7 linked regions of the Callithrix jacchus genome follow. The protein of the gene in region 2 interacts with the protein of the main gene of each other region in a pairwise test. Links are inferred from orthologs where the notes say so. Each region holds a gene or a part of one and is shown on either strand. Other genes may lie near its edges.

The links.
Region 1: the proteins of RUNDC3A (region 2) and AP1M1 interact in binary tests that used the Homo sapiens proteins (3 or more experiments, as listed by UniProt). The two-hybrid records come from large-scale screens. The link is inferred for Callithrix jacchus from reciprocal best matches to the Homo sapiens genes RUNDC3A and AP1M1.
Region 3: the proteins of RUNDC3A (region 2) and RAP2B interact in binary tests that used the Homo sapiens proteins (3 or more experiments, as listed by UniProt). The two-hybrid records come from large-scale screens. The link is inferred for Callithrix jacchus from reciprocal best matches to the Homo sapiens genes RUNDC3A and RAP2B.
Region 4: the proteins of RUNDC3A (region 2) and CCNL2 interact in binary tests that used the Homo sapiens proteins (3 or more experiments, as listed by UniProt). The two-hybrid records come from large-scale screens. The link is inferred for Callithrix jacchus from reciprocal best matches to the Homo sapiens genes RUNDC3A and CCNL2.
Region 5: the proteins of RUNDC3A (region 2) and EIF3E interact in binary tests that used the Homo sapiens proteins (3 or more experiments, as listed by UniProt). The two-hybrid records come from large-scale screens. The link is inferred for Callithrix jacchus from reciprocal best matches to the Homo sapiens genes RUNDC3A and EIF3E.
Region 6: the proteins of RUNDC3A (region 2) and SDCBP interact in binary tests that used the Homo sapiens proteins (3 or more experiments, as listed by UniProt). The two-hybrid records come from large-scale screens. The link is inferred for Callithrix jacchus from reciprocal best matches to the Homo sapiens genes RUNDC3A and SDCBP.
Region 7: the proteins of RUNDC3A (region 2) and MAGEB4 interact in binary tests that used the Homo sapiens proteins (3 or more experiments, as listed by UniProt). The two-hybrid records come from large-scale screens. The link is inferred for Callithrix jacchus from reciprocal best matches to the Homo sapiens genes RUNDC3A and MAGEB4.

What each region holds. Positions count from the first base shown.
Region 1 is NC_133523.1:14,819,432-14,823,853, reverse strand, and holds the start of AP1M1 (AP-1 complex subunit mu-1), read right to left. Parts: upstream 3,208-4,422; 5' UTR 3,107-3,207; coding exon 3,065-3,106; intron 1-3,064. UniProt on the Homo sapiens protein: Subunit of clathrin-associated adaptor protein complex 1 that plays a role in protein sorting in the trans-Golgi network (TGN) and endosomes.
Region 2 is NC_133506.1:71,152,897-71,156,859, forward strand, and holds part of RUNDC3A (RUN domain-containing protein 3A), read left to right. Parts: intron 1-842; exon of another isoform or gene 843-1,128; coding exon of another isoform or gene 1,129-1,139; coding exon 1,140-1,255; intron 1,256-1,608; coding exon 1,609-1,757; intron 1,758-1,921; coding exon 1,922-2,007; intron 2,008-2,916; coding exon 2,917-3,006; intron 3,007-3,110; coding exon 3,111-3,191; intron 3,192-3,336; coding exon 3,337-3,502; intron 3,503-3,634; coding exon 3,635-3,792; intron 3,793-3,963. UniProt on the Homo sapiens protein: May act as an effector of RAP2A in neuronal cells.
Region 3 is NC_133518.1:32,250,072-32,254,508, reverse strand, and holds RAP2B (ras-related protein Rap-2b), read left to right. Parts: upstream 1-1,218; 5' UTR 1,219-1,659; coding exon 1,660-2,211; 3' UTR 2,212-3,683; downstream 3,684-4,437. UniProt on the Homo sapiens protein: Small GTP-binding protein which cycles between a GDP-bound inactive and a GTP-bound active form. Involved in EGFR and CHRM3 signaling pathways through stimulation of PLCE1.
Region 4 is NC_133508.1:39,584,593-39,589,210, forward strand, and holds the start of CCNL2 (cyclin-L2), read right to left. Parts: upstream 3,072-4,618; 5' UTR 3,052-3,071; coding exon 2,773-3,051; intron 2,443-2,772; coding exon 2,368-2,442; intron 2,187-2,367; exon of another isoform or gene 2,128-2,186; coding exon of another isoform or gene 2,113-2,127; coding exon 2,003-2,112; intron 1-2,002. UniProt on the Homo sapiens protein: Involved in pre-mRNA splicing. May induce cell death, possibly by acting on the transcription and RNA processing of apoptosis-related factors.
Region 5 is NC_133517.1:88,597,730-88,602,453, forward strand, and holds the start of EIF3E (eukaryotic translation initiation factor 3 subunit E), read left to right. Parts: upstream 1-1,630; 5' UTR 1,631-1,727; intron 1,728-4,724. UniProt on the Homo sapiens protein: Component of the eukaryotic translation initiation factor 3 (eIF-3) complex, which is required for several steps in the initiation of protein synthesis.
Region 6 is NC_133517.1:14,818,334-14,822,296, reverse strand, and holds part of SDCBP (syntenin-1), read right to left. Parts: intron 2,426-3,963; coding exon 2,264-2,425; intron 482-2,263; coding exon 306-481; intron 1-305. UniProt on the Homo sapiens protein: Multifunctional adapter protein involved in diverse array of functions including trafficking of transmembrane proteins, neuro and immunomodulation, exosome biogenesis, and tumorigenesis.
Region 7 is NC_133524.1:31,134,759-31,138,592, reverse strand, and holds MAGEB4 (melanoma-associated antigen B4), read right to left. Parts: upstream 2,577-3,834; 5' UTR 2,441-2,576; coding exon 1,400-2,440; 3' UTR 847-1,399; downstream 1-846.

The sequences.
Region 1 (4,422 bases), on a different chromosome or scaffold from region 2:
GGGAAGAGTGACAGCATGGGGAGGCACGCGCAGGCCTGAGCCACTCAACAGCCCTGGGGAGGGCAGAAAAGGAGGAGAGCAGGCAGCGTGAGAAAACCCCAAGAACTCCCAGAAGCGGAAGGGAGCACCGCAGAGGAGGTGGTCAGTGGTGTCAGAAGCTGCTGAGAAGCCAGCCTGATAAAGCGGAGAAGCTTCCTACCAGGAGAGCTTTCTCCCAGCCAGTGCAGCCATGCCAATGTCCCTGATAACCAGACACGTGGCCATGGATTTCTCAATGTGCTTTATTTTTGATGAAATGCAGTGGGCTCACAAGGCTGACTTTGGAAACATGAGGTCCGTGGGTTGTGGAATAAGAAAGGGCGTCTTGGTTGCAGAGGAAGGGAGGGAAGCCCACAACTGCCTTGGGGAGCTTCCTGAAGGGCAGGTCTGATCATGCCTCTCTGGGCTACGGTCTCCTCACAGTGGCTGCTCCTTCTTGGAACTGAAGTGGTCCCCATGGGCTCTCTCTCCCAGCTCAGCATTAGTCAGGACTTCTGGCTTGGCAGCCCCAGCGGCTGCCTCTTGTGTCCCTTGCAATGCCTCTTTTCCACCTGACGTGGTCACCGTCCAAACCCCCTCCAGCATCGCCCTGTTCCAGGGGGCCTTTTGTAACCACCTCCGCCGTCCACTGGCTAAAGATAAGGTTGAGCAACTGCAGTACTTAGGACCTTGGTCCTGCCCCTGTGGCTGCCTGGAGGTGACTCCCCTGCTAGACAGAGAGGCCTGGGAAGGCTAACATGGACCAGGAGTGGTGCTGAGCCTGTCTCATGCATCTGCTCAGCAAATCTGCACAGTAAGTCCATAAAAGCCTCTTTTGGCCAGGCGCAGTGGCTCACATCTATAATCCCATCACTTTGGGAGGCCAACGTGGATAGATCACCTGAGGTCAGGAGTTCGAGACCAGCTTGGCCAACATGGAGAAACCCTCTCTCTACTAAAAATACAAAAAATTAGCTGAGTGTGGTGACGGTGCCTGTAATCCCAGCTACTTGGGGGGCTGAGGCAGGAGAATCACTTAAACCTGAGAGGCGAAGGTTGCAGTGAGCTGAGATTGCACCATTGCGCTCCCTGGGCGACAAGACCGAAACTCCGTCCAAAAAAAAAAGCCTCTTTTGACCAGTGAGAAAAGCGAGGCTCAGAGAGAAGAGGCTTGTCCCAGCTGAGCAGCAGAGACGGGTTTTCAGCTCAGCCCTAACACCAACATCCATGGTGCCAATGGATACCCTATGCCTGGCACAGGACGGGGTGCATGCTAGGTGCTCATGAAATGTTTGCTGAAGGCATAAGCAAGCCAAGACAGGCAGCCTGCTGGCACGGCTGGAGAGGCAGTGGCCAGGGCAGAAGCAAGACTCATGCCACCAGGGCTCAGGGAACACCACACCCACCCAGCCTCTGGCGTGCCTCTAAGAAGGCGGGAGAAGGAAGGCCAGCACTGGGTCTCACTAGGTGTTGACTATGGGTGCTTCCAGGGCAGGCACCTACTCAAGGGACTTCAGGAAAGTGCTGGGGTGGTGTGGCAGCCACTTCACCTCTTCACTCCCAGCGGCTTCAGAGCTCACTCTTGCCCACCTCTCACCTAGGACCTGACACCCACGTTTGTTTCTCTCACTGATCAATGTTGGGCTAACATTGTTGGACTGGTTCTTGTTGCTTCCACACACAATAGGCCAAGCAGCCACTTGCCGTGCACCTGGGATGGACTGGGGAGAAGGCAGAGGCCCATTTCAAAAATGCGGGGACAATCCTGCCTTTAAATTTTCTTAGATCCTCTGGGGAAGATGCCCAGGTTCTAGTTTATGTCCAGCTTGCTAGTGTCTCAGGTCCATTTGTCACCTCTGCTCAGGGAAACCCTCTCTCATTCTCTAGCTGAGACTGACTGTCCCTATTACACACTCACCCTGCCCCACCACTGCAATTGACATTTATTTGTGTTTTTGGAGATCGGTAACCATCTCCCCATCAGTCTGTGAATGCCATAAGAATATGGATTGTTGAGCCCTAGCACAGTGACTCATCCCTGTAATCCCAGCACCTTGGAAGGCCGAGACAGATAAATCGCTTGAGGTCAAGAGTTCGAGACCAACCAGCCTCGTCAACATGATGACACCCCATCTCTACTAAAAATATAAAATTTAGCTGGGTGTGGTGGTGGACACCTGTAATCCCAGCTACTCTGAAGGGTGAGGCAGGAGAATTGCTTGAACCCAGAAGGTGGAGGTTGCAGTGAGTGGAGACTGCACCACTGCACTCCAGACTGGACAACTGACACTATCTCAAAAAAAAAAAGAAAAGAAAGAGGGGGGACTGTTTTTTGCTAAACACAAATCAACCCCAGGTAGTACCCTGCCCAGCATTAGTAGTGCTCCCTAGATATCAGCTGAATGAACAAATGATTCTGGATCGGACTCCTAGACTTGCTACTTCTCTGTGACCAGTGTGACCTTGGTCAGGCTGCTTCACCTCTCCGTGCCTCAGTTTCTCCCTCTATAAAATGACACTTGTGATCACCACCCACCTCACCTAACCCTTTTAAGTCAGTATCACAATGAACGTGGAGAAATTTCTACTGAGAGAAAGTGCACGGTAAACAGAAGCTGCAACGCCCTGAGAAGGCGGGACTGGCTTGAGGGAACCCAGTCCCCGCCACGCCTCGCCACCCCTGGCCAAGGGTCGTGCATCCCCTGGACGCCCTGCCTGGCTCCCGGGCCGGCTGCGGCCCCACTTCCGGGTCCTCCACCGAGGCCAGAGCCCCTGGTCCCTGCGCCTGATAGTAGGGGTCGCGGCAGTCGGTTACCTGGCAATGCGGTGGCGGTAGCCCACCGCGTTACCTAGCAACAGAGCGGGGCAGAGGCACTGCAGACCCCCGCCCAATTACCCAGAAAGAAACAGGGTGTGAATCTCCCGCCCTCCTAGCGTCACACCAGGGTGGCTCACAGGCCGGTTACCTAGCAACAGGGTGGATCCCCGCGGGGAGGAGGACCCCGCCGGTTGCCGGGCAACGGGGAGGGTGGGGAGCCCTCAGTACCTTGCCCTTCAGGTCCAGCACGTAGACGGCGCTGGCGGACATGGTGGCTGCAGGAAGCCTCCGCAGCGGCCAAGGGCGGCGGCAGCGACTACCGGGCGTTGAGCGAGGCCGGGCGCGGCCCGCGACAGCTCGCCTCCACTTCCGGTTCGGAGAGCCGCGCGGGGACCGTTATGTCCGGTCCGGGAGTTGTCAGGAATGCGCAGGCGCAAGACGGAGCGTGCGCAGGCGCGGGACGTCAAATGTGACCATGTTTCTTGCTCTTGTCTGAAGAATCCCGGAAGTAAGGCCCTTGGAGGGCGGGGCCAAGTAAATCAGGGTACCTGGTGGCCGCTGCCAGCTGAACAATGGATCCAGAGCAGCTGGAAGCCGCCTCCCGTGGGCCGAGTTAGGCGAGAGAGCCTGGTGATGGAACCGATCTTGGGCCCAGCCCTATAGAGCTCACAGTCTGGTGGGGAAGCCTATGAAACAACTGTACAATCACCAATTATGATAAGCTCAAAAGGGAGGGGTAAGGCCGTGGTTACTTGGAAAGAGGTCAAACTAACTTTCTGAATGGGAGTCAAACCTTATCAGCGGTCACCACCTGTCAGTGTCAACATTTATCAATGAATGGGCGTCCCTGTTTATTGCCTGGAATGTTGTAAAAACCAGCCTCATTGAACCTTGACCCAAACAAGTACCTTGTTTCATTTCTGCAAAGTTAGTAGTCGGTAAAGCAACTGGTGGCTCCTCATGAATCCACTGAATCATATCTAATTTGCTTTTATGAATGATGGGGCTTTGGAGAAATGTCTGCATTCTGTTCCAATTAGCCATCATAGTACCCTGGGGATCCCAACCCTACAATATCGGAGTGATTGACCCAGGAATGCCTGCCTCTTTCATATCTTTTATATTCGCTCCTATCTCCGTTTTGGAGTTTGGAAAGATGATTTTTTGCAACTCGGTAATTATATAGACTTTGCTTAGGATAGAAATGTGAATCCCAGCACTTTGGGAGGCTGAGGCACACGGATCACCTGAGGTCGGGAGTTCAAGACCAGCCTGGCCAACATACTGAAACCCTGTCTCTAATAAAAATACAAAATTAGCTGGGCGTGGTGGCGCATGCCTGTAATCCCAGCTACTTGGGAGGCCGAGGCAGAAGAATCGCTTGAACCCAGGAGGCAGAGGTCAGGGTGAGCCAAGATTGCACCATTGCACTCTAGCCTGGCCAACAAGAGCGAAACTCTATCTCAAAAAAGAAAAAAAAAATGAAAAAGAAAAAAGAAATGTAACCGAAACTCTAGAAAAGCAAAGTAGAATGTTTGAAGACTACTAAGTGACTCCTGGGCTGGAAGGGTTCTTGCACAAGGCAC
Region 2 (3,963 bases):
AGTTTCTTTACCTGTACAATGGGGATGAGAGTGATAATAACGGGACCTACCTCTCAGGGCTGTGGTGAGCATGGGCAAGGTAATGCATGCAAAGTACTGTGCTTGGCATATTATAGGGCTTGATAAATATAAGAAGAAAAAGACATTTCCAAGCAGCTCCCATATCCCTGGACACCCCACCCCTGCTCTGCCACCCACAATAGGGAAATCATGGGATGTTAGAAACTGTCCTCTTCCCTGCCCCACTCCACTGCAGGGATGGCAGGTGGAGATTGCAGGGGTAGCAACTGCAGAGGGAGCCTGAGGTTTAGACAGGATTGGAGAAGGGGGCGCTGCATGGCTTCGGTCCTTCAGCCCCACAGGCTTCCCTTGGCTCCTTTCTCCCTGAGAAGCCAGGCCACCAAGCCCCTTCCAGGGATCTGCTGCCAGTGCCCCCTCCTGCCCAGTGTCTGTGTCAGGCCCACGCCCTGCACCTCCCTGCCCTGCCCCCGCCCAGCTCTGCACTGCCTGGTTCTGGGCAGCTGGTGTGTGGGAGGCCAAGCTGGGAAGGAAAAGGGGGAAGGGGGTATCTGTGTGCTGGGAGCCCACCTGGCCACGTGCGCACGCCCACACTCCACGTGCACAGTGCCAACTCACATGCCCTGGCACAGGTGACCCCATCCCCAAAAGGGACTGAAGGTTGTTCCAACAATCACAGAAGACAGCTCAGGGTGGGGCACACACTGGCTTCTAACATGTAGTTGGCCCTGGCCTCGAACACACAGACTCTGAAGGGCAGTCCAGGGGGAAGGGTCTCGGGGACTGCTCCCAGCTTGTGGCACCTCATCTTCCTATTTTTTCAGCCCCTCTCACCCCTTGCTCCTGAAGCTTCCTTTCTCTGGCTGTCACCTCTCCTTTCACTCATTTTGTCAATCAGTCTCCCACCTGTCACCCTCCCTCCCCACCAGCCACCCTCTCACTCCATATGACCCAGTACCTCTGTGGTCACTGTAGCCTCACCTGTCTCCCCGCACTCTCTGCCCACCCCCACATCCATGCCCTTCCTGACCTCTGCTCTGCCGGTGTTCCCTTCCTCTGCTTCCATCGCCTGTCTCCTCACCTGACATCCCACTGCCCCATCTCCCCACCATGCCACCCAGGTTCTCTGTGAAAACACTGCTGGAGAAGTACACAGCGGAGCCCATCGATGACTCATCAGAGGAGTTTGTCAATTTTGCAGCCATTTTAGAGCAGATCCTCAGCCACCGCTTCAAAGGTGGGCCCAGGTTCCCTCCCGCCATGGTCCAGCCCTCCCAACTCCCAGCGTTTATCTCCCAGCTGCCCCACTCTGATATACTCCATGGACTCTGAACCCTCTGATTGACCCTGGCCCCCACCTGGGCCATGCAGAGAAGCTCGTGTACAGATCTGGGAAGAGGGAGAGGCCTTTGGCCTATAATCCCCTTCAGTGGGCAAGCTATGTGCTGGGGTGCCCGCTGCATGTATGCATGTGAGTGCACATACCTTTGTCGGGGGAAGCTGCTTATACTTATGCATGGGAGACCCCCGATACACAGACCCTCTCCAAACTCCCTGGTCTTGCTGAGTCCCCTCCCTGCCCTGGCTCAGCCTGTGCCCCAGCAGGTCCAGTGAGCTGGTTCAGCTCAGATGGGCAGCGGGGCTTCTGGGACTATATCCGGCTGGCCTGCAGCAAAGTGCCCAACAACTGTGTGAGCAGCATCGAGAACATGGAGAACATCAGCACAGCCCGGGCCAAGGTGAGGGGCCTGGAGCAGGCAGCTGCTCTCTGCTCTGGACACAGGGGGCCTGCCTGATTCTTGGTCCTCACCCCCTGTCCACAGCCCAGGGTAGAAGGGCCACACCTGATGCTGGATACATGAGTCCCTCTGGGGCAGCAAGTAAAGGTGAACATACTTTCCAGGGCCGGGCATGGATCCGGGTGGCACTGATGGAGAAACGCATGTCAGAATACATCACCACGGCTCTGCGGGACACCCGTACCACCAGGTCAGACTTCCCAGGCAGCTCGGACCACAGGTCTCAGGGTGCATCTGCATTGCCCAAACACAGCTGATCCTTAAGTTCTTGCAGCATCCTTCAGTTCCTGGACTGCAAGTCCCAGCAGCAGCCTGTACAGCTGATTTCCCCCTTCCAGGCTGGCCTGCAGTCCCAGGGCAAACTACTCACCACCACCATCACTTGCAAGTCAAATCTGATGCCCATTATCCACCATCCTTGCCCAGCACACTCCACCCTGGCATGCCTCTGGATTAGCCTCAGCCATGAGCCATCACATGTGCTGGCTTGCTCCATGACCTACAACACAACCCTTCTGGCTCTCCAAACAATGGCAGCAGTTCCGTACTTGCCATCCACAGACACGGAGTCCCTGCGCAGGGAGTTCAACTCCTGCACTGCGGGTTCGAAGGGAGGTTGGCTGCCTGAGGCAGGGGGTTACAAGGTGAAATGTGCCTGTGTGTCCAGGTGCATCTGAAGCTGGGTATGGTGAGGGGCATGTACCTCCCCCTCCCAACTAGCCACACTCAGCCTGATGTTTTTGCTGCATTTGATTCCTCAGTCTACACATTTCAGGGCTCAAGTCAACACGTTTTTTTTAGGCACCTACTATATACCAAACACTAAGATTAAGACTCACTTCCAGATGTGAAGAATCTGGGTAACCCAGTACTTGATGAGGAAAGGGTAGCTCAGGGGGAGGAGTGGACTCAGGGAACACCCATTCTAGGTGATGGGGCCACGGTTCGAGCCCTAGGCTGAGGGGCGAGAGAGGCTCCAGGCCTGCAGGGTGATCAGGAAGGAGAATCAGCTTTCCTTCAAGAGGGGGTGGCAGTAAGCCAACAACAGCAACTTGAGGGGGCTCCAGCGCCTGCTGCACCATCCTCTGCCTTCCCACAGACGGTTCTATGACTCTGGAGCCATCATGCTTCGGGACGAAGCCACCATCCTCACAGGAATGCTGATCGGACTCAGCGCAATCGACTTCAGGTGGGGTCTGCCTGGCTGCGGTGGAGGAGGGGGCTGTTTTCCCCGCAAATCTCCTACCCCAACCCTTCATACCCACCCCCAATCCTGTGGCTCCTCTGCCCCAGCTTCTGTCTAAAGGGGGAAGTCCTGGACGGGAAGACCCCCGTGGTTATCGATTACACACCTTACCTAAAGTTCACACAGAGGTGAGCGGCTCCACGACTGCGGCGGGGCGGGGACCGGCCCCCAGGGACTTCCTGGGGACGTCCTGGTCCCACCGCCCTCGGGGGCCAGCGCGGACGCGCGGGGGGAGGGGAGGGACCGCCCGTGCCCACTGTTCCCTCCCCCAAGCTACGACTACCTGACCGATGAGGAGGAGCGGCACAGCGCCGAGAGCAGTACGAGCGAGGACAACTCGCCCGAGCACCCGTACCTGCCGCTCGTCACCGACGAGGACAGCTGGTACAGCAAGTGGCACAAGATGGAGCAGAAGTTCCGCATCGTCTACGCGCAGAAGGTTCGCGACACCCGCGGGCCTTGGGGGGGGGGTGGGCGGGGCGGGGGAGCCTGGCATCCCAGGGCGGGGCGGGGACGGGGGCCGCGGCCGGGATGTCCTCCCCGCCGCCCGAGCTGAGTCGGCGCTTCGCAGGGCTACTTGGAAGAGCTGGTGCGTCTGCGCGAGTCGCAGCTGAAGGACCTGGAGGCGGAGAACCGGCGGCTGCAACTGCAGCTGGAGGAGGCGGCGGCGCAGAACCAGCGGGAGAAGCGGGAGCTGGAAGGCGTGATCCTGGAGCTGCAGGAGCAGCTGTGAGCGCACGGCCTGCCCTGACCCCTGACCCCTGATCCCGGCCGCCCCGACCACATCACCGGGTGAACCCCATCTTCATCTCTATCGACTCTAACATCACCCGACACGAGCACCCACCTCTCCAGCATCAACCCACTGATCCAGCCAGCTCCACCCCGAGATGACCACAA
Region 3 (4,437 bases), on a different chromosome or scaffold from region 2:
CTGCGGTCCCTTGCGGACCAAAACCTGTAATTAGCCCTTTGTGCTCCCTGTAAGGGGCAGTCCTGACTGGAAAGTGAGGAGTCAGACTCTCTCGAAAACACCAACAAAGAACTATATTTAGTTCTGAGCTCTCCGCCTAAATGCCTCTTACTTTTTCACTTTTACTTCAAAACGCCAGGGTTGGGGAAGTGGGAGGCAGGGGGCGGAGGAGCAGCGGAGAAAGAACAGCTGTGCCTTTGCCTCTCCGCTCAATCTCTAAAAATAACCAATCGCAAGCGGAGGCTACTTTTTAGCCAATGAAGCGGCCCAAACTGACAGAGCCTTGGCGGCAGCCAATGAGCAACACATAGGAGTGTGAGACTCGCGCCCCGGGACCAATGAGTGCGGAGTCTCGGAGAGGTAATTTGAGCTACAGTGTGGGTGTGTGGTGCAAAAGCTTCCTACTTCCAAGCCCCAAAACCCGCTCCGCGACTGAGCATGCCCTGAACTGTGGGGGCCACGAGACTTCTGGATTGGGGTGTGATCCGGTCTCCGGGTTTTGACCGCAGCCGAGCAGGGAGATGGGTAGGACCCGAGGGACCCTGCTCCCGGAGAGCTGCAGGTACCACAAGCTACCCTTTGCCTAGTCGGGGTAGTATTTGAGGCCTGGAGTACCTCCCGTTTTCTTTGTCCAAGGCTGCAGTGCACAGAGAAGGCAGAGTAGCGTTTCTGTGGCGAACGGTTTAGAAAAATCTGTGGGGCAGGGACGCTCCGCCGGCTGCGCGTGCATTCCACGGCACCCACAAGCCTTCGGGTTTCCGGCCCCCAGACACGCCCGCCCGGGGCTGGGTGAATGGCGTCCCTGGGCCTTTGATAACGGGAGTTGGCAGAAGCACAGCCTACTCCATCCCTGAGGCGGCCCGCGGCGCCCACATGCTTCTCGCAGAGCCGCCGCCCTTGTGCACCACTCCCATAGCTGTAAAAGAAAGCGGCCTGCTTGCTCCTTATGCACTTTCCTCGCCCCCTTGTTCGCACACACACCCCATCTCCTAGCCAGTTCCTAGACTCGCGCCGCTCCCAAAACAGGACCCAAATCCGGAGCCCCGCCCACGGCCCCGCGGAAAACCAGGAGCGGCCGCTCGGGCAAGGCGCGGTCGGAACGCACTGGGCATGCTCGCCGGGGCGGGGAGGGCCGGGTTGCGCGCGGCGAATAGGAAGCCCTCGCCCAGCAGAGGCTGCGGGAGAGAGCGCGATGGGCCGCGGTGGTGGGCGCACGTTCCGTGGGGACTCATGCCACGCGCGTCCCGGCCCGACGCGCAATTAGCAGCCACCTCCGCAGCCAGCCGCCACCGCCTCACCGCCCTCCCGGGCTGCTGCAGCGAGGAGCTTCTGCCGTCGCCTCGCGCAGGCTGCGGGCATTGTCCTCCCGGTTCGCTGCCCGGGCTGCTGCTGCTGCCGCCGCGGACTGCTGCGGGGCCCGGACCCGCGCCCCAGGGACACGCCGCCGCCGGCCGGCCCGGCGCCCGGCCCCCGCTCGGTGGTTTCTGCCTTGCGTTCTTCTCTGGGCTACTCTCTCCTGGGTTTTTCCTGTGGAGCTGAGGAAGGGGAAAAGAAGTCCAGCAGCCAAGCCCAGCCTTCCCCGGCGCGCAGCCCCGTCGGGGCCGGAGCGCTGACGGAGCCATGAGAGAGTACAAAGTGGTGGTGCTGGGCTCGGGCGGCGTGGGCAAGTCCGCGCTCACGGTGCAGTTCGTGACGGGCTCCTTCATCGAGAAGTACGACCCGACCATCGAGGACTTCTACCGCAAGGAGATTGAGGTGGACTCGTCGCCGTCGGTGCTGGAGATCCTGGACACGGCGGGCACCGAGCAGTTCGCATCTATGCGGGACCTGTACATCAAGAACGGCCAGGGCTTCATCCTGGTCTACAGTCTCGTCAACCAGCAGAGCTTCCAGGACATCAAGCCCATGCGGGACCAGATCATCCGCGTGAAGCGGTACGAGCGCGTGCCCATGATCCTGGTGGGCAACAAGGTGGACCTGGAGGGCGAGCGCGAGGTCTCGTACGGCGAGGGCAAGGCCCTGGCTGAGGAGTGGAGCTGCCCCTTCATGGAGACGTCGGCCAAAAACAAAGCCTCGGTAGACGAGCTGTTTGCGGAGATCGTGCGGCAGATGAACTACGCGGCGCAGCCCAACGGCGATGAGGGCTGCTGCTCGGCCTGCGTGATCCTCTGAGGCGGCTGCCGCGCGCCGGCCGCGCTCTGCGCACAAAAGCCAAACGCATCCGACTCTCTAAATGTGATTTCTTTCTTGCTTTGAGATTGGAGACCACTTTGCATTGGGCAGGGTTTCTTGGGAGCCCTGCTGGCCTCCGCGGCCGGCGGCCCCTGCCTCCACCCTGTGCTTGAGGGGGTGTCCCGTCCTTCCCAGCCGATACTCTGGTGGAAATGTGGCTCTTTGCAGCATGTACGTTTCTCCCTGATTTTGGTTGATGCATATTTCCCCGTTTAAGTAGCCGTTAGGGCGCAGTATCGGCAGCCTGACACTCACCAAGCAAAAGTTTCAGCCTGGGGGAAAAAAACCGGGGAGAGGTGTGGAGGAAAAGGAGGGGGAGAAGGTAGAAAGGGTTTTTCTTTTCTTTTTTCTTTTTTTGGTCAACAACCGTTTTTCTAGTTTCAAGTTTTAAATACATGGAAGGAAGTCCGGGAGAACCACATGAAGGAGCAGGAGAGGAAGAAACTTTTGTTTTTTCCTTGTTTTCCAGGAGTAGCTGGAAATTAAGATCGGGTTCCTTTTCTGCCAGCTTGGAAGGGCAACCCCATGACTGATTGCGATTCTGAGGATGTCTATGCAAAGTTGGATTCTTGTTACAGTGTATCCAATCTGAAGTATTGCACATCTGAACTGGGACTGTTAACACTGATGCCAATACAGTGTGGGGTGCCAGAAAGTGTCTGCTGATATTTGTGGAAAAAAAAAATCTATTTTGTTTACCTACTGTATCAAAGGGGAATCTGGGGGAGAACGGTAGTATTTTTTTTTAATCAGCTGTGAAAAAAATGTTACAGATCTGCACATTTTCGTGTGTACTATGGTATGTGTGTGGTGTGTGTGTGTGGTGTGTGTGTATGTGTATGAGTTTAGCCTTTTTGTTTTTGTTTTTTTGGTTGGCAGTAACCGATTTTAATGACTAGCTTTTTAAAATACAGTACAAAGACTTTGTAAATGTGATTCAGGGCCCCCAGCACCCCTGTGTCTGCAGAGTGCCTTCAAAACTCAGCTGTTCCAGCCGGTGCCAACCTGTGAACTTCCCACCATATCCCACAATCTGCTATTCCCCCAAACCACTTCCCAGTTTCCTTTCAGTAATCTTTCTGAAGGAGCCAGGACAATAGGGCCTGTTGTTTAGTGAATTTCTTTATTATTTTCAGCCTTTAAAATGTAATTTCCATCTTTTGCAATGAATTTGTTTTTTTTTTTTTTTTTTTGCTTCATTTTGTTTAAATTTTCAGGTATCTAGCTCCCCTTTTATATTATTTTTAATTTTTTTATTACCTGTTATAGGGTGTTCCTCCAGAAGCAAAGAGCAAAATTTTACTGTTGTGATGTACCAATTCTAACTAATTGTAATTTTTAATTTCATGCGTTTAATCATTGTCTCTTCATTTTAAGACTTTTAATACAAATGTCATTTTTAAAGAAACAAATCCAAAACTATTGTTTGTGTTTCTGTGTTTCATATTCAGTGATTAATACAGTATCATAGCTGAGGTGGATGGGGTAGGTGCAAGATACTCTCCAGAGCTATTTGTCAAATTTTGAAGACAGAAGTGTCTCAGTGATAAGTTGGATGACATTACTCCCAACTTCTTAAGTTTGGAGAAAATCATCAAGGTCAAGGAAGCCCTGGGTATGGCCATTCCCATCTGATTAGAAGATGAACAGGTATTTTGAATCTGATCTGACATGGAACAGTTTACCTCATTGTGGGTAGGGAACAAGAGAACTCAGCTATTAATATTGCCTTAGATCTGGGAAAGTAACCATCCATCTGGCAAAGTAGGATGGCACTTTTAATTTTTTTCTTCCTTTTTTCCCCCATTTATATTACATGTCATGTCAAAAATGTATTTGGGAAAGATGGTTTTCAATTCTGAAGTCATACCTAGTGATGTTTTTTGCAGTACATTTGAATGGGTTGTAGACACTTGTCTAAACCCTTTTGAGATTTTGTTTTGGAAATAGATTTAAAAGAAAACAGCCTAAGATAACATTGTTTTTCTCATTTACACCCTTCAGTTTGTGGACCATATTTGACCTCATGAGTTTTTCCTTTTAACAGTAGGAGGCAGTGTGAGCTTTTTATTTTTCTTAAGGTGGTCTTAGTAATATAACTACTATATATGTTCATACATATCAAGAAACTGAGTACTTGGTCTATGAAATCTGAAGTCTTGACAA
Region 4 (4,618 bases), on a different chromosome or scaffold from region 2:
GTTGCAATGTCCACGTCCCCTAACAAGACTGCACAACATTCTTCACAGCCCAGTGCCAACCTACTTATCCCATCCCAAGGATCCTCCCCATTGTTCCTTACATATCAACAGCTTCTGGTGCGCAAGCACAGACTGAACGCAGTAACAGTTTTAGGATCTCATGGCACCACTGCTAAAAGCACTTTGTGTGGCTCAAGATATAAGGATACATACTCATAGTTAAATAACCAGTAAACCAATAAAAGACATTATTTAAATACTGATGGGCCAGGGCGGTGGCTCACTCCTGTAATCCCAGCACTTTGGGAGGCCGAGCCAGGCGGACTGCCTGAACTCAGAAGTTCGAGACCAGTCTGTCCAACATGGTGAAATCCTGTCTTTACTAAAAAAAAAATACAAAAATTAGCCAGGCGTGGTGGCAGGTGCTTGTAATGCCACCTGCTTCGGAGGCTGAGGCAGGAGAATCACTTGAAGGGAGTCGGGGGTGGGTGGCAGAGGTTTCAGAGCACCAAGGTTGCATCACTGCACTCCAGCCTGGGTGACAGAGTGAGACTCTGTCTCAAAAACAAAAACACAGATGGCCAGGCAAGGTGGCATGAGCCTGTAGTCCCAACTATTTGGGAGGCTGCGGCAGGAGAATTGCTTGAACCCGGGAGGCAGAGGCTGCAGTGAGCCAAGATCGCATCACTGCACTCCAGCTTGGGCAACATAGCAAGACTCGATCTCAAAAATTAAATATGAGGCCATGTTTTTTCTCTTTTGAGACGAAGTTTTGCTCTTCTCTGACAGGATGGAGTGCAATGGCACGATCTCGGCTCACTGCAACCTCCCCCTTGGGTTCAACCAATTCTCCTGCCTCAGCCTCCCGAGTAGCTGAGATGACAGGCACCATGCCCAGCTAATTTTTTTTGTATTTTTGGTAGACACAGTTTCACCATGTTGGCAGGCTGGTCTTGAACTCCTGACCTCAGGTGATGCACCTGCCTTGGCCTCCCAAAGTGCTTGGATTACAGATGTGAGCCACTGCCCGGCCAGAGGTCGTGTTTTCTAAAGAACTTCCATTAACTTCAGGAGCATAAACACTGCTAAGTTTGGAGCCAGTGTTTCTCAACTGGAGCAATTTTGCTATTCTAGGGCCATGAAGCAACATCAAGAGACTTTTGGGTTTTTTTTTTGAGACAAGAGTCTCACTCCATCATCCAAGCTAGAATGCAGTGGTAACACTGCAGCCTCAATCACCTGGCCTCAAGCAAACCTCCTGCATCAGCCTCCCAAGTGCTGGGATTACAGGTATGAACCACCACACCTGGTATGAGAGAATTTCTGGGTATCACAACTAAGGTGGAGTACTCCTGGCATCCAGTGAGTAGAGGCCAGTGATGCTGCTGAATCCTGCAACAGACAGAACAACCCACCACAAATAAAGATTACCCAGCCTGTAATCCCAGTGCCTTGGGAGGCTAAGGCCAGCAGATCCTTGAAGCCCAGGAATTTGAGACCAGCCTGGACAACGTAGCAAGACCCCATCCCCAGCTACTCAGGAGGCTAAGGCAGGAGAAACTCTTGAGCCTAGGAGGTTTAGGCTGCGGTGAGCCATGATCATGCCACTGTATTCCACCCTGGGCAGCGGGACACCCTGTCTCAGAAGGAAAAATAAAGGATTATCCATCCTAAATGTTAACAGTGCTGAGATTAAGAATTCCTGCTCTAAACTTATGGGAAACAAGCAGCAACAGGGTCGTGCACCGACACAGGTAAAGCAGGAAGCCAGCACCAGGGCCATGGGCCACAGTGCCCCGTCCTCACTGGAGCCCCTGCCCTCACGCTCAACAGCACCTGCTGACGCCTCTAAGCAGGCCCTGTTCGAGGAACTTGAAAATGCACTCAGGAACATCCCCCAGGTTTAAAACCTCAGGCCTGTACTTTGTTATAGAAATGTTAGCATAATTTAACCAGAAAAAAACGCAGACAAAGATCAACTGGACAGCGCTAACTGACTCACTTTTTCTCTCTCAGCTGTCGGAGACGGTGAAACACATTGATGACGTCCCGTATGCGTCTTGGAGCCTCTTCTATCTTGGAAGCCAGGTGAACACAGGCCATTGACACATGCTGAAGCGGAAGCATCGCAATACACCCATGTTTGTCCCCAGCCACCGCATCCTGACAGGCCAAAGGCTTGAGGGCTATTCAGACCAAAATGCACCCAGGGGAAAAGAAGCCGAGCAACAGAACTCTCAGAAACAGAACTCTCCGGCCCAGAGCTCAGACTGGGGAGCGGGCACTCCCTCCCGAGTAACCGGGCAAACAAAAGCCGCTTCCCCTCAACATATTCCGCTGGGAATGAAGCGCGGGAGGGGCCCTTACCTCCATGGAATGCTTCACGAAGGACTTGGTGTAGAAGAACCGCTGGAACAACACTTGCCCGGTAGCCATGGCCACCTAGAGTGGAGGAAAGTTTCTGTATTTTCAAACGCACGGTCCAAAGCCTTCGCAGCCAAAAGTCATAGAGTAACGTGGGACTCCCCATTCAGAAGCAAACACTGAAACGTTCCCCAGGTCCACAAATGTTCTTTGCCTCCCGCCGTCTCGGGGTCCAGCGCAAGAGGGAAGGCCCCGGGTCAGGGGCAGGGGCGGGCTTGGGATTGGCACCAGGGCCGGGGCCGGGGCCTGGATGCGGGCGGCGCGGGACCCACTCTTGCCAACAAAGGGCGGCCGCTGCCCGGGCGGTTACCTGGGCCCGAGGCCCGAGGCTCGCGGCCGCACCCTCACCTGAGGCAGACGGAGCAGGATGCCGGCCGCCTGGATGAGCTCGCAGCCTACCACACGGAGGTCGGTCTCCGTGTCGGTGTCGAGGCCGCTTGACATGGACGGCGTGAAGCGGAGCTTGTCGTCAGGTAGGAGGCAGTTTTCCAAGGTGATGAGCACCCCGGAGTATAGCCGGTCCCCAATCAGCACACCTTGCGACCCGGGGACTGCGCCCCAAGAGCCCGGGACGCCGGCCGCGGCCGCAGGAGCTGCCGACCCCACAGCCCCAGCCGCCGCCGCCATTTTGTGCTGCCGACTCCCCTACGACTTCTTCCCGCAGGGCGGCTCCTCGCGGCGCTCTCCTGCTGCCACCGCCCCACCCCGTCTCATACCATTGGTTCGGCCTGCGGGCAGAGTGACGTAGCCTAGCGGCAATTGGCTACTCCACATACCCGTCAGTAACGCGCCTAACGCCGTCGCCGGAACCTGGCTCAGATCTGAGGGCGGGCTCGTTACCCAGGGTACTCCGCGGTGCCGGCCGACCCGGAAGTACGTCTGCCCCGAGCGGAGACGCGGGTGCCTGGTTGAGAGCGCCTGCCCGGGCGCCCCGAGCGAGGCGGGGCTTCTTCGAAGCCGCCCACGTTCGACCGGAGATCCATGATCGCGGAAGCGTGCGTCTCGGAAGTCCTATGGGTCAAGGGGGTCCATGTCGGCGGGATCTGGGGTGGGACGACCCCACCGCTATCCCCTGGGTGCGGGCTTGGTCAGAAGCTCCACTCGGCCTCGCCCTGAATGAGTCTCGCGTGCCTGATGTTCGCCGGCCGTCGCGGGCATCGTGTCTCCAGTTCTTCCCGACTCCAGGCTTTGGAGATGCCTGTTAACGCCAGACTCCCTCAAAGTCTTGCCTTCAAAACTCAGCCCTTGGGGAGAGATGGGTGGAGGATGACTAGAAACGTGGCCTCGACGTCCCTTCCAGCGTGGGGAGGCCCAAGTACCTCAAGGTGCAGGCCCAAGGAAGGAGTCCGGGGAGCGAGGTGCGGTGCGCTCCGTCTGAAGGAGCTTGGACAGAACCCCAAAAACGGCTGGGAGACAGTGAAGGAGTTCGTGACACCGCTGATCCTCCCCCAGGCGATCTCACGCACTGCCCGCCATGGGTTCACGGGTTTTCACCACCTGCGGCGCTCCTGGGGTAGATCACCGCTGTACAGGAGGAGCAGATGCAGGAGGTATCTGTTGCTGCGGTTACCCAAACCTTCGCCAGGACTAGTACAGGACCCCGGATGAAGATGGTGGGGAAGCCTGCACTGGGCAGGGAAGTGTGGGGCAGGAGGAAGAGTGGGGGTCAGCAGAGGCCCGAGTGTGAGTTCACACCGACCTGCCAGTGACTGCACCGTTTTGTTTTTTTTCAGAAGATTTAGAATTGAATGACTGCTCAGTTTACACGGGCTGAAATCCAGAGGCCACCATTGCCCCTCACCCCGCCCCCAGGTCCAGCTGTCCACTAGCTCTGCCATGACTTGACACTGCAGCTCAAACAGTACCAACCAAGACCCACTCTCCTCACCGTCTGCCATGGGCAACAGGATATGGTTACAGCTTCACCCATGTCCTCTTTCCCCAAGCTGGCAGTCTTGTGTGTTATAGCTACACACTGCAGGAAACCTCACCACACAGCTGGTTTCTTGTTGGTGCTGCATGCCCATTTCCTCAGCTGTGACTGCCAGAGGAGTGGGAGGTGGTAGTGCCTGCAGCCAATCAGGCCCAAGCCCTGGAGCTGCCTGGGAACAGGACCATGGCACCAGAGCGCCTACTGGCACAAAGCGAGTGCATGCTGGGAGCAGCCCATAGTGGTCTGCCACATCTGTGTATT
Region 5 (4,724 bases), on a different chromosome or scaffold from region 2:
ACTAGTCCCTCAAGATTTTATATATGCTACTAACATCTAGGAAAGCTATACTAAACATACCTTCATGATTGTACTTTCTAAAAATTATGTACTTAAAACATTTTTTAAAAGCATTAAAAGTAACAGCCATTTATCCATCATCCAGCTTACGGAATATACGCTGAAAATAGCCATTTATCCATCATCCAGCTTACGGAATATACGCTGACACAAGTCTTTTAAAACTATGTGTTTATAGCTTTTCTCCATAGATTGTGAATTCCATGAAAGTAGGGACTGTGTGTTGATAGATCCAAGATTTTGCACTAAGAAATTAACACTGTTGTTTAATACAATGGAATCCCTCAATTCAGGTAGAAATACTGAGGTTCATAATATGCTAGAGGCCACAAAGCCAATAAATAATTTAACCCAGTTCAAGTACAAAGGAATTTTGCTTTATTTCTTAAGAGTTTACAACTTTATAATACCTGATAAATTTATTCACGATAAAACCGAAAAAATAACTTTCAGTACACATATTTTCAGGTCATTATTAAAGCATCCCACAAAAGCATTTGCTGAACAAATTAGCTATGGAAGTCTCCTGTATTATGCTAAATGCTGGGAATATGAATTCCAATCACACAGATTCCATGCCTTAACGAAACTCAAGTTTCTTAAGCACACAGAATTGATCCAAGGTTTGGCTGTTTCCAGATTTAAAGAACATATCCCACTCTAGATCGACTAATAGGTAAAAATGTCCATCACACATGAGCACGTACATGGCCCAGAATTAATAAATTATTTTTCCCTTCAGAAAAAAAAAAAATTGCTAGTAGGGAGTACGAAGGAAGTTGTGCTGTGTGTGCAAATGTGTTTTGAAAAGGAGTGGGACAGAGACTAGCCTGAAAGGAAAAGAAACTGGAAAACCGGGTTTAAGGAGAAAACTAAATGTAGAGTGGCATATGAGAATCACAGTTGTTAAAGCATCTTCTACAACAGCTTTTCTGCACAGAGCTGTAATCCTTACATAGCACTTAGTAAAAGGCCTTACAGACCCTGTGTTTCTCGACGCCAAAGAAGCTTCAGTAACCACGTATTCCGCTTCCTCCGCACCGCCCAGCAACCACAGTTAGTGTGTGACAACCCTAGCCCCAAGTCCCTTCCGCCTCATAAATGGAAGCGGCCCTGGCCGCTGGACTGGCGCAGAGGAGGGCAGGTGAACCGATGAGACGACACTGTGGGAAACGCCATAGAGTACGCGCTCAGGCCAAGGAAGGGGTCAGCCTCAGCCTCCACCTCAGCTTGGCCCGTCCAGTGAGAGATGTGGTATCAAAAAAAGACCAGAAACCCCAGCTCCCCGAAGGCAGCGGGTAGTCCCAAACGGCTTCCTAGCACTTAAAAGCGCTGGTAACTTCCGCACCCGCCCCCATCCGAAGTTACCTTCCCAAGTGACATCGTAAAGCTCTGAGACCTTCGCCATCTTCCCAAGAACCTAGAGGCAGCGGGGTGAGAGGGCGGGGAGCCGCAGTCACGTGACTCGCGACCGGGCAGGGGCGATTTACGTAACTGGTTCTCATTGGCCAAGAGAGCAGAGGGGCGGTATTCGCTACGCACGTGCACGCAGCTCTGCGGAGGGGCTTTCGGGGAAGGGGGCGGAGCGAGCTGGGTGGTGCGCCGCGGTCCCGGAATCTGAGGCTTCTTTGGGTGCTGGCGGGGCGGAGGTGCTGACTCTGGGTGAGGTGTGTGTTTTTGTATTTGTTTTGCCGTGGATTTTTTTTAACAAATGCTGGGTTTTTAGTGTCCGCCAATCCTAGCTTTTCATTTTTTTCTGCCTAGGCGTGTTCATTCTCTTCACACTCCCCAATCAACAATTTATTCTCTTCAGGGCTGGCCGTGGTGCAGTCTTTTGCACGAATCCTTTACTAATCGCCAACTTTCCTCCTTCTTTAATGGGATTTGCTTTCCGTTCACTTTTTAATCGACTAAACGGATACTCTAAAGTTTTTATTAAATCTCTTCGAGGGACTAAGTGGGATTCTTTGCGCTTTGAAGTTCCCTTGAATACCCTTGGGCTAGCCTGTACCCTTCGTTTACGCTTGTCGTGCCTGTCATTGCTTCATCCATGTCTGCATGCCACACTAGGTTTGAAACTGTAGCGAGTATGTAAGTACTTACAAGAAATGAATGTACGAATAAGACCTTTACAGTTCCTGAACTTCGCTCCTCTTTTCTCCTGGTGGGTGGATGGGGGAGCCTCCTTTCCCACCAGACTAATTGCTTTTAGGGACCTTTGGACGTCGTCTCCTAGAGCTAAGGAGAAATGTCTGGACAGTAAGCAAAATATTTGAAGATGATAAGCATATATTTAGTATTTGGAGCAATGAGAACCTGAGATTGTAGAGGAGGAATATGTAAGCTGAGGAAAGACTAAAAATCACTGCAATGCCGCCATAGTTATGGGTCAGTGAAGAAGGGGCAGTAAAGGTTGAGAAGTAGAAATAATCCTATCCCACAAGTCAAAACAGTGGAGGGGTTTTATTCCCAGCTTTATTGAGGTATAATGGACAGAAATTGTGTATATTTAAGGTATAGGAAGTAATGATTAGATGTAAATATATATTGTGAAATGATTACCACAACCAAGCTAATCAACACATCCATCACCGTACCTGTTTCCCGTGTGTATGTGTTGAGAATACTTAATCTCTCAGCAAACTTCAAAGTATACAATACAAAATTATTATAGTCACTATAATGTACATTTGATCTCCAGAACATATTCACCTTACAACCAAAAGTTTGTACCCTTTGACCAACATCTCTCCATTCCTCTCCTCTCAGCTCCTGTCAACCACAGAGGGTTTTTTTGTTTGTTTAAAAAAAGAAAAGCAATAACCGTCAGGCCATCTATTCCAGAGAAGTCACGTAATGACAGAAAAGACTAGTGAAGTTTTATACTTGGATTGAATTCTGAGTGAGCTGGCATTCTTTCTAAACAGACTTAAAAAATCTTTCATTCAGGAAGTTAAAAAATGCTCCACCCAGAAATTCACGTATTCTAATTCTTCAATAAAGCAACATGGTGCAATGGGAAGAAAGAGAACTCCCAGATCTGATTCCAGGTTCTACCTTTTAGTAGCTGGGTGACTTTCAGCTTGTATGTCTCTCTCAGCATCAAAGAGGCTTATATGTGAAAAGCTAATAATATCTGTTGAAAAAGAAAATAGCTACCTTGAGTTGTTCATCAACATGAAAGCAGATACTGCAGCTAAAACCCCTGCGTGGCACTCTCATGGAGGTACCCTCCTGTATCTAGAAACACTGTTTATGTGCTAATCAGTCCCAAATTGATCAATCTTCTCAAAACCCACTCTGCTTGCTTGACATACTTGCTTAGATGGCTAGTTGATATGCATCTCAAAGTTAACATAGCCCGCACAGAACTCTGGATTCCTGCTGTCACCTTCTGCATTCCCACCTTGCTTTTCCCCATCATAGGTAAGGAAACCATTTACCTACTTGCACAAGTTAAAATTATAGGAAGTACCTTTGATTCCTTTTTTTGACACCCCCCCATATCCAGTCTATCAGCAAATTCTACATTGCACTTCATCTGCTTTTCATTTCTATTGCTGTTACCTTAATCTAAGCCACAACTTGTCTCTTCTGAATGATTGTGATAGTCTCCTAACCACCTTGGTTTCATTCTTGCTATGTAAAATCAGTTTTTTTATACAACAACGCTACTGGTCTTAAAAGAAAAATCAGACTACAGAAGTCCCTTGCTGATAGGCCTCAAATGGCTCCCCATGGCAATAAAAATATACTTCAAACACTTTACCATGGTTTAAAAGGCTTTACTCAGCCAGGTGACATTCATCTACCTCTTACCTCATCTCCTACTATTCTGTCTCTCCTTTCTAGCCCCCAGCCATTCTCATCTACTTACTAGTCCTCAAACAGGCCAAGCCCCTATCTGTCTTGTATCTGGCATTTGCCCACCTGCTTCCTTTTCCTAGAATGCTCTTCTCCACATCTTTTAGTGACCATCTTCCTTTCACCATTCATATCTCAGTTTTAAATGTATCCACTCATAGCCCTTTTTTGACCATCCAATAAAAAGTAGCTCTTATATAATGCCTATTCATCTTCATGACATTTATCACTATTTGATTTCTTGTATGTTTACTTGCTTACTTTCCGTATTTTACACCACTTTAAGCTGCTTTGGAGTACCAACTTTATTATTTTAACCTTGGAATATCCATGCTAGGAAAATACCTGAAACAGTAAAAATGTTTGTTGAATGAATGAATTAGATTAAAAATGACAGCTTGTATTAATATTTATTAAGGATAACATTTCTTAATAGTATACATATGAACTCTTGTTTAGTTAAGCATAGGATGTTTTCTTTTTATAGCTAATACTTTCCTAAAACTTATAAATTCAGTGAATTCAGGGACCATGCCAATTTTTTTTTTTTTTTTTTTTTCGGGTAGGCCCTGCCAGGGTGCCCCGGGTGGGACTACTCTGTGCCAGCTCCTCCCCCGGGTGCCCAGAGTCCACCAATTCATTTTTATATCAGCCGTTACTACAATACATTGCATACAAGAGCCACTTAATATTTTCATGAAATTATTGATGCTTAACATTTTTTTGGTTTGTTTGAGGGGACTAAAGCCTCTAGGAAGTCCCAAGTATGTATTTTTTAAAGCCTTGCAATGGATTTTAAA
Region 6 (3,963 bases), on a different chromosome or scaffold from region 2:
ATCTAAGCAGTAAGTTGGAAAGTGAGCACAGAGATGCCTTGCTACTCAAGTTACTTCTCCAACATACATTTTTTTTATTTTCTAGAGAGATTGGTCCTATAAACTCTGAAATAAGGTATCATATCAGAATGCTTTAAAAACAAACGATGTAAGACAAATCTGCACCACACAACTGCAAGACTATAAGGCTCATCATAACATTTGATCATTTTCTGCAACAAAATAATACATTCACAGACTCTGAAAGCTCCCAAAATGGAAAACTAGTCTTGAAGTTGAATTTGAACTGTTTAGTAACAGCTTACCTGTCACGAATGGTCATGGTAATCTTCTCGCCAAAGGCCTGTTTGAGCACCTTGTGCGCTTTATCAGAGCTCCACCCTGCACAGTTTTCACCATTGATCTGGAGTACTTGGTCCCCAAATCTCAGACCAACCAATGAGGCTGGAGAATTAGCCTGGACTAGCTGAACAAATATACCCTAGATAATAAGAAAATAAGTTTTGTCATTAACCTCTATTATGGTATGGTTCTAAAATGCTGGAAAATTAGGAAACAACTGTTTATGTTAAAAAAAAAAATCTACCCTGTGACAAAAGAAAGAAAAAACAGAAAAAACTATATGAGTGTAATATATCAAGTTATCACCTCAAAAGAAACCGAAACATTTATCAAGGCAGTAACTCCAAAGAAGAAAGCAGAAAAGTGAGATTTCAATGGCAATTTCTATACCAAATCATAACCCACCTGACCAACCACAACCCCCACCACTTTCAACTTGGAATACATAAGGAAAATAAAGGACAACTTTAATAAATGCAAGCATCTATGAGTCTCATAGAATACCAAATTATCACTACATCATCAGTCATATTTAGGGGACAAGCAAGTCACATGTTAGAAAGTTTGGTGAGTTCTTTTACAGCTTAATAAATGACAGTTTAAGGTCATAATTGTACCTTTTGAGCTGAAGTGTTCCTTTACCCATTTGTTACATTGTATAAAATCAGGTAAGATTAAAGTTTATTTGATAGCCTAAAAAGATGGGCATATTAAATCTACATGCACAGGCTTGTAAAGAACACACTATGAAATAAATATAGAAAACTCTAGTACTGTTAACCAGTAACTACACTTATATGGATAAAGTTACTTATGTAAAATCTCTATCAGAAATTGAACAAAATATAAATAGATAAGTATAAAAGAAGAATAAGACAGGTAGAATATAAGAGCATCTACAAGGCTAGACCCTTCCTACAATCCCAAACGAGGTAAGACATTTCTATCACACGTCTGTTACACTGTAGAGGGATAAGCAAGAATTAGGCAGCGCCCCATAAATGAACCAACGCGCTTGGCCAAGTGAACAAATCCACTCCAAGTGTTACCTACAGTGGGGCCAAGGGGTCTGTGAAAAGTATCTTTTCTCTTTAGGACAGAGGAAAGAACACAAGAGCAATCCTGGCATAAGGGGCAGCAATATACTGTATTCCCTGAAGAGAAAAGCAGAAAGGGCACCAAAGTCAGAGCATCCCAACCAAGCACGCAGATGTATTCTGAATAAGATATAAGTGAACAAGGCCATCAATGGCCTCAGCCCCCTGGGTGGGCAGGTGGGGTTGGGGCTTCCTGCCAAGATCAGGCTTCTCCATTTACAGCAGTGCACTACGCTAGAGATGTATGACTGAAACTGAATCCAGTGAGGTAATGGCTAAAACTATAAATCGGGGTAAAGACTCAGCATGTCCTTAACAATTCTAAATGGTTCCTGAGAGTTTCATATCTTCAGTATGGTAAAGTGAGAGGTAAAGTAATCATAAAGTCAAGTAATAGCTGCCCTAATTAGAAAAAAACTTTTACTCAGAAAATGACATATTAAATTCAAATAACAGTAAAAACCATCTCACAAATACTGATTGGTTTAAAAATGCACACATGTTGACATCAACTCTCATTGGTCAGTTTTTTCTTAACCTTCACATCTGCTCTATTTAATTGCCACAATTCTATACAAACTACATTATAATATATGTAGGCCAGTGAACTGTATTCCAGTTAGAGTACTCAGAAAAGAAAAATGTCTTTTAAAGTAATGTGGTCAGAAGTCCCAACTCTGCCTCTGCAAAAGAGAACATCCCCAATTGAACAAAATTTGTATATTTAAAATATTCTCAACTATAGATACACCATCATAGTTAAAGCATTTCCATTTCAAATTATTTTAACATTAGTCACTTATACAGGTATTAAAAATACTTACATTATCTATTGATTTAAGCCTGAGACCAATTTTTCCATCTTGATCCTTACACAAAATGACTTCACGAATCCCTTGCTTAATTTCTGCTCTACGAATTCCAACATCGTTACCAGTTACAGGAGCCACCATATAGTTCATACTGGAAGGTCTTGCTACCAACTGCTGACAAAACCATATACGATGTGTAAATATTTAGAATCACTCTCCTCGAAAAAAACAATGATAATTAACTGGAACATACTCAATTATGGCTTTCCAAAAAGCAATCCACAAATAATTTCCTTCAGATAAAGTTTTATGTCTATGAAAATGGCACTGGCTCCATTATTAATTCTTCATTAACTTATTCCCACATATATCATCTCTAATAGATTCAATGATTCTCTGTTACCTTTTGAATTCACTGACATTTGTTTCACTGGTACATTGGCTTGTCTTCATCTCAAATGCATTACCTTTGAACTTAAAGGCCACATGCTTGAAACACATTTTCCAGAGGATTCTTTTATATGTCATGATCTCTGACAATCTACTTATCCTTTCAGAATTTCCAAAAAGGGACAACCTTCCTACTCAGTGTTACTGAGAAGGCTAAATGAAAAGTGCGTATGTGTATGGACCTGGCACAAGTAAGACAGTCAACCATTATGTCTTCTCCCCTCTAATGACCATCTATGGATTAACAAATCACAGGCATAAACCAGAATGCCCCAGAATACCTATATTAGGGACCTGTGTCAGGTACCATGCTTCAAGTTTCTAATTTTTTTCAAGTTTTCCTGACCAAAATTGGTTTCTTATTTTAAGTGGAACCTTTCCCCAATCAAAAAGAAAATGGAATAATATCAGGCTATCAAAAAAAGGAAATCTTGACATTTGGGCACATGAATAAACCTAGAGAATATTATGTCAAGTGAAATAAACCAGACACAGAAAGACAAGTATTGTCTAGATCTCACTTATATATGGAATCTGAAAAGAGTCAAACTCACACAAGTAGAGTTACCTTCATTCTTTCCCCTGTCCACGTCAGGGGCTGGGGTGGGCAGGGGAAAGAATAAGGGAAATGTTGGTCAAAGTGTACAAACTTTCAGTTATCAGTACATTCTAGAGATCTAATGTACAGCATGGTAACTATAGTTAATAACACTGTACTGTATACTTGAAATTTGCTGAGAGTACCAAGTGTTCTCACCACACACCAAAAGAAATGGTAACTACGTGAAGTGACAGATATATTAATAACCTTGACTCTGGTAATGATTTCACGGTGTGTGTGTGTATCGATACATCAAGTTGTACCGAAATACACAGTTGAATATAAACAATTTTTATTTGTTAATTATACCTCAATAAAGCTGGGGGTGGGGTGGAGATCCAGATGAAACATCAAGAGAAAAAAAGTATGTGAAATGAAAAATTCACTAGATGTGGAGAGTTAACAGAAATCTCCAGCAACAACTTAAAGTAATTTAAAATTAAAAAGAAGAAAAAGAAAAGGCAATGGTGCACTGAGGAACCCTGGAGATTCAGACACAAAAAATGAAGGTTTAGGTTACCCTTCTAGGTATTAAGTTTTTTTAAAAAAGACCAGTTGAAGTATTGCCCAAGGGCAAAAGAATCTAACCATCCATGTAGTGAAAAAAGGAACTTCTAAATTTTAACTATAGCCTCATGACCAGTTAATAAAATAAGAATCG
Region 7 (3,834 bases), on a different chromosome or scaffold from region 2:
GTCTCAATTACCTTGCTTAGGACATTTACACTAGATTCTTCCCCTAGAAACACCCCCACCTTCTTATATCCTCTTTTCAACTGTCTTTAGGTCTTAGGGACTATCTCATTACCTTCATTATGTGATAGCTGCTGTTGAATTCTAAAATTCTATGGACAGGGTTTTATTTTTTTTTAATTTTTATTTTTTTGCTTATCCAGTGCTAGCTAGGAGCCCTCTGAAGAGTAGCTGCTCAATTAATATTAGGACAATTAAAGTGCAAGTGAGCCGGAAGTCAAATGTATTGCTATTTAATTTCTCCCACATTCCTGAGAAAGCTAACCCAATCCAGATACATATACTTCAGTTTTACAAAGAAAGACTAAAAGGAATAAAACAAAGCAAGAATTGACCACATTTTACTTTTTTTTCTCTATTTCATGATCCCACCAACTTTATTGCTAGGTAATTTCCTTTTCACAAATTCTGTATTCTAATGTCATATTGTCTTGTTCTAGATCACAGAAAAAGATTTAAAGATTTTAAATTGTTTTACATAATGCAAAAGTTCTTGTTCTTCAACCTGACATATTTTAATAAATGAGTTTTTCATGCCATTCATAAACTTAGATTCTGAAACTAAATAATTCTACAATTAAAAGAAAGAACACTGAAAAACAGGAAAATGAAAAGATAAATCATTTTACATACAAATATATTATATATGATGTTCCCACCAACTCCTCTTTGGCCCTCTATTAATTAGAAGGTTAATATTTTCTTTAATTAAAAGTAAAGAATATACCTCAGACTTCACAAGGAGTGGATGACACTGTTGGACATCACACTGGAACATGCCAGGAGCAGTTGCAACACTGTCTCCCTCATCTCTCAAAGTCTTCTCTTAATAGAGGGAAGACAATGGGGACACTGTCATTGACCTTGGCCGAAGCCTCCACATTCTTAAATAATCTAAGCAAACCAGGTATGTAACTTTCAAATTTATGAACAACAAAAGACTAAAAGTAGTAAGATAAATCAAAAATAAAGCAACTTTTGCTTTTCTTCTCTTTCTGTCTTCAGATTCTTCTATTTTACTGTGGCGTTATTTTAAATTTCTAAAAATAACCTTACTCCAACGCCATGTTATTTTGCTCTGTATCACAAAAACGATTTTCAGATTTTCTATTTGTATTTCAAAAACCAAACTCTTATTACTAAACCAACCTGATAAACAGAAATAAGTGTGTGATGCATGCCATTTCTAAGCTTATATTCTGAATTTAAATAACCTTTCTATTTTAAGAAACATCACAGGAAAATTCAACAAAGAGATATATCACCGAGTTATTCATGCAGCACAGGAACAGCAGAAGGCAGCAGGTCTTTCAACTACAAATTGAACAATTTGCCTTAGATCTCACATGGGGTGGGAAGAGCTGCTGGATGTGTCCCTTGAATGTGCACTAGTCATGGCAGTAGTGCCACGCCTGGCTGCAACTCTGGGCCGGGCTTTGGCTTTCTCTTCTTCATCTCTCAAAGCCTCTTCATAAAGGAGTGGGAAGTTACTGGGGATGGTATCATTCACCTTGGCCAAAAACTCTAGGACTTTCATCTTGCTGGTTTCAGCATAGGCTCTTGGACCCCACAGGAATTGATAGCGTGGGGGATCACTGTTGGGCACCTGCTTGTACTCCAGATATTCTTCCTGCACCAGATCTTGGGAGATAAGCTTTCGGGCATCCCCAAAGATGATATGCCTCTTACCATCATAGATCCCCAAAACATTCAGGAATTCCCAGATTTCCTCTTCACTGGCACAGTTGCCACTTAAGAAGATCACACTCAGTAGAGGCATCAGAAGCCCATTCCTTGGATATTTCCAGGAACTGCTCTCGTTTCCATCGTTGGTGGGATTCAGCAAGCTGACAATGGTGTAGGAGTGACTGGTCGGGTTGACTTCCTTCAAGGAAAGGCCAAAGACCAGCTCCATGCGCTGAGAGGCTCTGCTGAAGATCTCAGGGAAGTGCTCCTTGTACTTTTTGCTGATGATCTTCAGCATTTCTGCCTTTGTAGTGGGCTCTTTCATTTTATACTTGTACAGCAGGAACTGCACCAACATCTTCGTCTTCCTGGTTATAGGATCTTTGATTGAGCTCTCAGTGGATGTTGAGGCCTGGAAGGAACTTGCCTTTTCCTCACCTTGGCTCTTGTCACTTTCATCAGATCCAGTGCATGACATAGCTGCAGCACCAGTGGTGGGTAGTGCTCTCTGAGGCCTCTGCAGAATGCCAGCAGCAGGGGAGCTGGAGGGAATATCCCCCAAAACAGATGAGGAAGAGGAATGAGACTCTTCTTTCTCTGCTGCAGTGGCCTGAGCAACCTTGGTATCCTGGGTCTGACCACGGGTCCGCTGGCGTTTCTCACGGGCACGGAGCTTACTCTTCTGACCTCGAGGCATGATAGCTGTGATTAGGCACAACAGGTAGGAGAGTAGCCAGAAGGGCAGGTGATATGGTGCCTGGAGAAGAGAGATTGAGATCCTGAGAACACCTTTAGTAGGCAGATACTACCTTGGCTTTTCAGAAACCGTCTCTGCAGGATTCCTTGAGAACACTGCTCTAAGTATTGACTGGGCTATTGTTCTTCGTCATTCTGTCCCCTGAGAACTCAGCTGAGGAAGTTACAATGTGCCTTAGGCTGCAGCTTGCCAACCCTGCTGGGGGCTGACTGGGTTCTCTCTGTGTTCTGGCTTGGAAAGGATCCACTCTGATTACTTTTAGAATTATCCTGTCAGCTCTTGGCAGGGCCTCAGCCTCCTTCTATTGGTGTTGTGAAGTAGAATCTTTAACTTTCTATGGGACCCAGATGAGGGAAATGTAGGGGCACCTCAACCCACCACCCCTGCTTCGAAGCATTTAGTGCTCTCTGTCCTGGGATCCTCAGGTCCCAAGTTTGCACTCAGTTTCCTCATCTGGACTCCATGCAGGGTTGTGGACTGTCTCTTCTGATGACTAATAACTGCGACTTCAGACCAAGAATTTCACCTTTTCTAGTTCTGACATAAAATGTGATGGGCATCTATGAAAAAAAAATTGATAATCTGGGCTTCACTAAATTATAACTTCTGCTCTGGTAAAGATACCACAAAGAATAAGACAACTCCCAGATTGGGAAAAATTTATTTTCAAAAGACATATCTGATAAAAGATTGTTAACCAAAACATACAAAAAATTCTTAAAACTGAACAATAAGAATGGACCAACCCTATTAAAAATGGGCAAAAGATATAAATGAGCATCTCAACAATAATATATACAGAAAGTAAATACGTACATGAAGTGATGCACAACATCACATGTCATTAGGGACTTGCAAATTAAAGTAATGTGAAACCACTCCATACCTATAAGAATGGTCAAAATCAAAAACTCTGATAACCCCAACTACCGACGAGGATGTGGAGCAATAGGAGCACACTGTCATTGCTGGTGGACATGCGAAATGGTACAGCCACTTTGGAAGACAGTTTATAAATTTCTTACAAAACTATGTGTAGTCTTATCATATGATCTAGTAACTGCACTTCTTGTTATTTAGCCAAATGAGTTGAAAAGAATGTTCACAAAATAACCTGCACACAAACATTTATAGTAGCTTTATTTATAATTGCCTAAACTGGAAAGCAGCCAAGATGTCCTTCAGAAGGAGAGTGGGTAAATTAAGAGTATAAAATATTATTCAGTATTAAAAGGGAAAGAACTATCAAGCCACAAAGAGACATGGAGGAAACCTAACTACATATTACAAAGTGAAAGAAGCCAATGTGAAAAGGCAACACAATGCATAATTCC